Linked DNA regions of Neurospora crassa OR74A. The protein of the gene in region 1 purifies or fractionates together with the protein of each later gene. This does not show direct contact. Links are inferred from orthologs where the notes say so. Each region holds a gene or a part of one and is shown on either strand. Other genes may lie near its edges.

Region 1 (4,107 bases):
GAATAGGGTCACATCCCACTTATTTTACGCATTGCCGATACAGCGGCCGGACTGGTTGTCGAGTTCCCTATACTCCCAACTCGTCCACTCGTCTTTCGAACACCAGCTTCTCTGACGCTCCCAGGTGGATGGCGTTTCGCACTAGTGTTGCCTCGTATCTTGGTCAAAACTCCAGACGCGGAACTAGTGCGTGGAGCGTGGTCATGGGCCTTGATTCGTGCTGCGGCAGTACCAATGTTCTCGATATCGTTCGATGCATCATTATCCATGACTTGATAAACAGTCGTTTTCGTGGTAGCGGTTTGGTGGGTGACAGACCGTTCGGGGGGTTGTCCTGGTGAAGTTGGAGCAGCAGACTGTCTTCGCCGAGATCTTCGAAGATTCCATTCCTCCTCTGAACTCGGCCCTCTTGAGCTCTTGTGAACTGTGATCACCTCGGTTGTCACTTCTGTCATGGGAACGGGTTCTTCCTCCACAGTGGTCTGAATAGGTCCCCGGCCATATCCTTTCTGGCGATCTACTGCGCCCCGCTGCGTCTTCCTTGGCTGTCCTGGCGTAGGTGCGGGGAGGTAATCCTCTTGTACGCCGATATGATTGTCACGCGCCGACTCCCGATCGATCTCGCCTAGCGGTGTCCGAACTGATCCTCTGTTAGAGGGTGTGGACACGCCATTTTTGCTAGAGCTACGACCAAGACTCGTCTTCGACACGGCACGGACAGGGGTGCTGGGATGCGCTGTCCCGTTAGCCTGAGCGGCGGCGGCGGCAGCGGCTGCCATTTCTTTGCGCAGCCTCCGCTCAACCCGCTCCTCAATCCACCACTCCCGGAAGATGCCCTGGTTCAGATGTAACCAGTGCTGCTGAGGCCCTACGACCATGCCTGGGCGCATGAAGCGCATGTAGGCAATGACCTCGTTTGCTGTAAATCCATGTCGGTAGATCAGGTAGGCACCGATGAGGCAGCCTGTTCGGCCGAGGCCAGCTTTGCAATGAACAGCAATGCCCTTCTTCCTAGAGATGGTTTCATGGGCCATGCGGATGAATTTCCGTACGGTCGAAAGGGTAGGACATGTTCCGTCCTCAAAGATCATGTCGATGTGGTTGATTCCTAGGGCTTCAAAGTATGAGGGATTGTAGAGCTGCGAGTTCAGCCTGACGACAAGGCCGATGTCTCGCTCCGAGAAATGCCTGAGAACATTTTTGAAGGGCTGCGGCAGCGTAGGATGTGCGTCGACGGCGGCTAGGGTCTTTGGCAGAAGTGACCACTGCTCGGTCCCCTCGGGGGTGGGAGCAACCGGGGTATGCTGAGGAGAGGCAAATGCCAGGAAGTTGGGTGTAATCCAGTTGAAGTCGCCGTGCTCAACTCTCTCAAACTTTTCGTACTCGTCAAGGTCGAATGTCTCCAACACGCAGCAGCCTTCCTCCTTGGCCTTCCAAACGCCGTACACAACGTCCTGAACCGTGATGCCGTAGTCGGCCTGGCTGTAGCCGGCGTCTCTGAACGGCATTAGAGGGGGGTCAACCTGGGCGACCGGCGCAAGAGCTAGATGCGGAGGCCACGATTGGATCAAAACCATGTAGCAAGCTAGTAGACAAGAGGCATTGGCACGACCTAAGGTAACATTGGTCAGCAATCTTTGCTGTTCTCGAGGAGGCGGACTTAGATGACCTACTGCGTGGATCGGCCCTGCTCCAGAACACTACCGGCCTGTCTTTGTTCTCCTTGGCCCCAAGAATTTCGTGGAACTGCAGGGCGAAGCGGTAAAGGTGGCCGATGTGGAACGGGCCAAAATCGTGGTGGAAGGCATTGTATAGAAGAGTATCGTCGACAGTGAAGTAGTATGGCTTCTTACGCTCCGTGACCTGGTCGATTGTTCGTTGAGAGCGCTTGCGCGGGGACCGTGGTTCAGGATCCGGGTAGGGAAACAAGGTATGCTCGGTAGGAGGTTCAGAGTAAGATGCAAGGTACAATCGGTCTGTAAAGGTTAGTATACTGTAAGGCAATTGCTGATATTGTAGAGGATATTCAAAGGTGCTCATATTGGGACGAGCAGCTCCGTTGCGGAGCGGTGAACATGGGATGCGGGTGGATCATAAACATGGAGTTTTCGGACAACGGAGCCAGAAGCAAAACAAAAAAAAAATTGTAGCTTCAATTAAGAGGACCGGAGCGGCGCACAAATAATCTACACGTACCGGGAATGTACTCGATGATTTGCCCCAGATTGCTGGAGTGTCTGGAGGAAGGAGCCATGGCGTCGTGGCCTGGGAGGCTCAAAGTCGACTGTTTATGTCGAGAGAGCGATTGGCGTTGCGACAATGCGCAGGCGCACGTACGGGAATAGTGATGCTGTGCAATGCAATGAGCTACGTATAGGGAGGCGGGAGCGAAGGATGTTAAAGTCCAATTCGATCTTTTGTCGTTTGAGGGCTGTACTTGAGGTCGGCCAAAATTATGGTCGGATTGATTGACGGGAAGAAGGTGAGGTCGAGATCGCAGATCGTTTGCGCGAGCGATTGTGTGCCAACAAGGGAAAACCAAGCAGCCAAGCTGGGCTAGGTAGCTATACCGCGAGGCAAGGGACTGTGTACTGCACTGCAGGTGCGGGGTGGGATGAAAGGGCCAAAAACAAGGGCCAAAGCCTCCAAAGAAGGACGAGAGGACACCGGCTGCGAGAATGCAATTCTTGTAAAGAACGAAGGCACCGGAGGCAGGAGAATTGAAGAAACAAAGGAGTGGGCAACTCGATGATGATGTGCGAGAGGAGGAGGTCAGAAAAGACCGGTGGGTATGAGCTGGTTGCGGAGAACAGGTTTTGTAGCAGGTACGGCCTTTACCGGTACTTACCAAGAGCGGTGTTTTTGCTGGCAAGGTTGTATGTCGTGTGTGTATTGTCATTGGCAGGGACCCTGGCGAACCGGAGAACGAGCGAGACCTTCACCTCACCTTCCATGCAGAGACCGCCTCCAAGTCGCAACTGATCTTGCCCGACCGCTCTGCCTGCGCCCGGGGTTTAGCGTGGGCCAGCGAAGAATTCGGGGGGCTTGGTATCTTCCAAAACAATTCACCGCCCAATAAGCGCGTTCAAAGCTCCATCTCACCCGCCGTTGTCCTGACAACCTTCTCTCTTGGCATCCGCAGTCGCGCCTGGACCAGTAACATCCAATCGCTTCGCTCTGACGGGAGATCCCCCCCCAGAGCTCCACTTTCCAGCTGAGGTAGAGAGGGAGGTGTTGCCGGAGCTTGTCCTTTTTCTGTAAAGCCGCCATGATGCCTTTGCGCCCAGCACACGGCAACAACCGAATATCGAAACTCGTTCCCTGTTCAGCCAGCCTGCCGCCTACGACCTTGCGATAACTGTAGACGATAGTAACATCACTGCGGAATTGCCAGTGTGAGATACAGTTTGAGGTTCCTACAGAGTTTCCCACAAGGGCCTGTTATCGGTCATCACAGCCCAGGCACACTCGCGGCGGTTGGAATTTGACATTCGTCATCGGGTAGCGCTTACCACACAAACTCCCCTGACAACCGTTAGGCGAGTGCCAGTCTGAAACCCTTTGGTTCACGACAACATATTTCTTGCAAGTGTTTACTTCGGGGTTATTAAAGACCGCAACCATGGCAACCGACGATAACTTCCCCTGCTCGCTGTAGGTCATTTGTTTTTGATTGTTACTTCATTCCTTGTTCTGATATGTTTTGATCCTCTGTTTATTTTCCAATTTTTGAAATTTTTTTTTTTGATTTTTTTTTCAATTTTTCATCTTGTACCATTCGTCTCATGAGATCATCGTCACATCCTTGCTTCACTCAAACTCTGCATACCTTTCAAGATAATCGACACTAACACAGCAACCGACAAGAACACTCCGAGTGCCCTTCCCTGATGCTCGGTTAGCTTCTGTTGCCCTGCAGGCTTTGAGGGTGGACAAGGAGCTCTCCGGCCTCGTGAAGCGGGAACTTTCGACCGTTGCGTCTCCTGGCAGCGAACATGCTGGGGAGACGGTCCTGCAAGTCGACTACAAGGCCACCACAAACCGCATGCTGCGCGTTGCCGTGAATTCCTTTATGGACAGCCTAGCGTTGGTGTTGGAGGTGCAGGA
Region 2 (3,443 bases), on another chromosome or scaffold:
GTGCGAGATTGCGATTGATAGGATAGAGTGGGAGAATTCGGAGGAGAGGAAGCAGGAGAAGTTGCGCCAGAGGTACATTGACATTGACAACATCATATTTCTGTTCTGGCATTCTTTCCATTGGTGTGCTAACCGCAGAAAACTACTACTTCTAGTGACTTTGCCTCGGTTGATCCCGCCCCTCCCATGCCCGAAGACGACGAGAAGCAAACGGTCGAGACGCTCGAGAAGAAACTCCTAGACACTTCGCTCCCCCTCTTCAAGAGATACCGCGCCATGTTCGCCCTCCGCGACCTGGCCTCCCCTCCCGACCTGCCGACTGCCGTTCCCGCCATCCTGGCCCTGGCCAAGGGTCTCAAGGACGAGTCCGCCTTGTTCCGCCACGAGATCGCCTTTGTGTTTGGACAGCTGTCGCACCCGGCTTCCATCCCGGCCCTGACCGAGGCCCTCAGCAACCTCGACGAGGTCAGCATGGTCCGTCACGAGGCGGCCGAGGCTTTGGGCAGTCTGGGTGATGAGGAAGGGGTCGAGGAGACGCTGCTCAAGTTCCTCCATGACAAGGAGAAGGTCGTTCGCGAGAGTGTGATTGTTGCGCTGGATATGGCCGAGTTTGAGCAGAGCGGCCAGGCTGAGTACGCGTTGATACCCGAGGTTGCTAGCAAGGCGTCGTAAAAGATGGGACTTTGAGTTTCTCTTGTTGGTTCGTTGATTGCGTTCGTTGATTGCTTGTTTCTTTTTCTTTTCTGGGGCGAATCATGGATGGATGGATGGAAGGGTATTTCAAAAAGTTTATGCGTCTTTCTCTCTCTCTCAGGATTATACCAATGCGACTGATCGTCGGTCCTGACAAAAAGAAGGGGTATCGTTGTTGTAGTTGTAGTAGTTGTAACAAGGCAAAGAAAGCCGTCGTTACTAAAGCTCGGCTTGCCAATGCTGGTGCTAGTAAGCTGTCCCATATGTCGTTGGATCCAAACCAAACCAATGCGACCCAAACAGCATTCCCAATTTTGTAAATCCAATTGCAGCAATCTTCTTTGCACTCAGTTGTTAACCGACCATCTGTGTTGTACCTCGAATTAGCACAAAGCAAACCACAGCTATAATAACCGTCCGGCGGTGTCGCATCATACCTCTCTCCGCAGTCGCAGTTGTACAGAATTGTTGAGCCTTCGTCGGCACTTCTCTGCTGAACTTCCGAGTAACGGATACCGCGCTTGCCGCACTTGGGGCATTCTGTGTTGGAGTCGATTCTCTCCGTGTTGAGCTCGTGCCTTACGACGGTCTGGACGATATCCAGCTTCTGGCGCAAAAGCGAGGGGAAATCGGACGGCTTGGACTTGGTCACGACGGTTCTGGAGGGACGATCTAGAATGAAACCAAGAAAGATGGTCAGTTTGTTCAAGTTGCAATCCTCGGATGAAATAAAGCTTCTTCTTGAACACCGTCTTCTGGAGGATATTGACTGGGTAAAGTGAATTGAATGCGCACCTCTGTTTTCGGCACCGCAGCATTCACAGTGAAGAATGTTCTTTTCGCTGCCCTTGGAGACGGGCAAGAGGTTGCCGCAGTCTGTGCAGAAAATGAGGGATCCGATGGCGGCCATTGTTGTTTCTTCTTGGTTTGTGCCGGAACGGTGGTCAAGGTACTGTAGGTTGTCTGATCGATGTCGGCGGTTCGGTTAACTTGAAGTTTTCTGTTGTTTCGTTCTCGCAGTAAACACCGGCGGACTTCAAGATTTACAACGGGCCTGCATGGAGACGATCAATGGCACGGCAAAACCATGGCAATTGATTGGGCGCGCAATGGAAAATTCCACTGGGGGACCCTCCTGGCTTGCTTCCTGGCAGGCAACCTAACTTGCTTGGCAGCGAGCAATGAAAGCCGGGGCAGGCTACAGGCACCTAGACGTAGGTACTTTAGCATGGGCGATGACGAGTGACGGCGGAAGGCACAACCGCAACAAGGGAACCATCCATCCACGCTGATGACACGGCAGGTGGGACCAAGGGAATCTGCCCCCCCAAGGCCCCATATCCAGCGCAGGCCGCGTGTTTCTGGCGCTGAGTTGGGTTCAAGTTGAATTCGTAAATTGCAAGCCAGACATGGAGACGCGGCAAGCACGACCGAGCGCGCCAACACGCCTGGGGTTAGGTAGGTAGGTAGTGTAGCTGGGCAAGTACGGGACGGCCACGGCACGGCATGGCAGGTGCTAGCTACCTACCTGTGCAGTACCGGCCGGGGTTCGGGGACTCGAATTACAGTAAGTAGCGTGACCGCGCGCCGTGCCCACCAAGCTCACAGGGCTGTTTCCCGTGTTGGCGTTGTGCGTTGCCCGTGCCTGCCCAGTGCCCGCCCTGCTTTGCGGATCAAATCTGGGGAAGGGAAACATACATTTGGATCCATTGGACTTTCCTTCCCTTGAGTTCCAATTTGGGTACAGTACCTGAACTTCACCTTCCTTGAACCTCAACATCGACCACACGTACTTACCCACCTCTACCTCTCTATCTTTAATCGTGCCCGATCCCACCTACCTTAGCTATTTCTATCTGTCTGTTGACCAGTCCCCTCACTCTCAGGTTCTGTTCAGTTGTTGGTCCGAACACATCGAAGCGACGACATGGACACACTACCTGTGCCTGCAGCGTGATTTCCTCTTTTCCTCAACCACCATCATCCATCTTGTCTTCTCCAACTAGTCCATCCGACGCGCCCAGGCCAACACTGACCCGCCGCGGGACAAAGGCCCCTCCTCCGCGACTGCCTACACGATTCCGCCGAAAGCAGTCGGTTCGCATGGCAACAACACCTCCGGCTCTCGTCTGAACTTTGGGCTCCGGGTCCTGACGTGGTACTGCGTCTACTACTGCCGCCGCCGCTGCTGCTGCTGCTGCTGCTGCCGCCGGTGCCCTCCGGCTGGGACGACATTTGCGCCGGACACACCCAACCATCCAAATCACCATGCGCTAATGCTGCTGTCAAAGTGATCAAGCAACAATGGCATACCAGCATCCATACCACCACAGCATGGATCCCAACGCCCAAGACTACCATGGCTCCCAAGGCGCGCCGGCGTCCTCATCGACGCAACAAGCTGTGGCATTTACGAGACCTTTTGCCCTCTACGAAGCTCTGCCCTATACGCCTTTCACCTCGATCGTGCCTTTCGACCCAAGTAAGATCAAACCATCCCAACTCTGAGACACTCCATGTTTGCTCCTCCCCCGTATATCGTCATGCCTATCTCCTCTCCTCTTCGTTCCAATATCGTCACGCGAGTCCTAACCATTCATGTCTTCACCTCTAGGTATCTTGCCGACACCCTCGATCGGAGCTGCGTCGCCCGCCCCCAGCTTGATCGACCTCCTCAACACTCAGGACTTCGATGGCCTCAATCAAGAACTTCACAACACAGGTCCAAGCAAACGCGTTCAGCACACACT

Evidence for each region. The genes of interacting proteins can lie anywhere in the genome.
Region 2: the proteins of NCU03246 (region 1) and NCU05251 purify together in Saccharomyces cerevisiae (affinity purification with mass spectrometry; 4 studies listed by BioGRID). This does not show direct contact. The link is inferred for Neurospora crassa OR74A from reciprocal best matches to the Saccharomyces cerevisiae genes CDC14 and RPA12.

Annotation. Positions count from the first base shown.
Region 1 is NC_026501.1:5,041,822-5,045,928, reverse strand, and holds the start of NCU03246 (tyrosine-protein phosphatase CDC14), read right to left. Parts: upstream 2,801-4,107; 5' UTR 2,255-2,800; coding exon 2,197-2,254; intron 1,977-2,196; coding exon 1,674-1,976; intron 1,613-1,673; coding exon 9-1,612; 3' UTR 1-8. Other genes in the region: NCU03245 (hypothetical protein), read left to right, coding at 3,623-3,654, 3,868-4,107. UniProt on the Saccharomyces cerevisiae protein: Protein phosphatase which antagonizes mitotic cyclin-dependent kinase CDC28, the inactivation of which is essential for exit from mitosis. To access its substrates, is released from nucleolar sequestration during mitosis.
Region 2 is NC_026504.1:5,596,174-5,599,616, forward strand, and holds NCU05251 (DNA-directed RNA polymerase I polypeptide), read right to left. Parts: upstream 2,143-3,443; 5' UTR 1,604-2,142; coding exon 1,489-1,603; intron 1,366-1,488; coding exon 1,131-1,365; intron 1,060-1,130; coding exon 1,041-1,059; 3' UTR 673-1,040; downstream 1-672. Other genes in the region: NCU05252 (deoxyhypusine hydroxylase), read left to right, coding at 1-72, 156-672; NCU05250 (hypothetical protein), read left to right, coding at 2,998-3,175, 3,308-3,443. UniProt on the Saccharomyces cerevisiae protein: DNA-dependent RNA polymerases catalyze the transcription of DNA into RNA using the four ribonucleoside triphosphates as substrates. Component of RNA polymerase I (Pol I) which synthesizes ribosomal RNA precursors.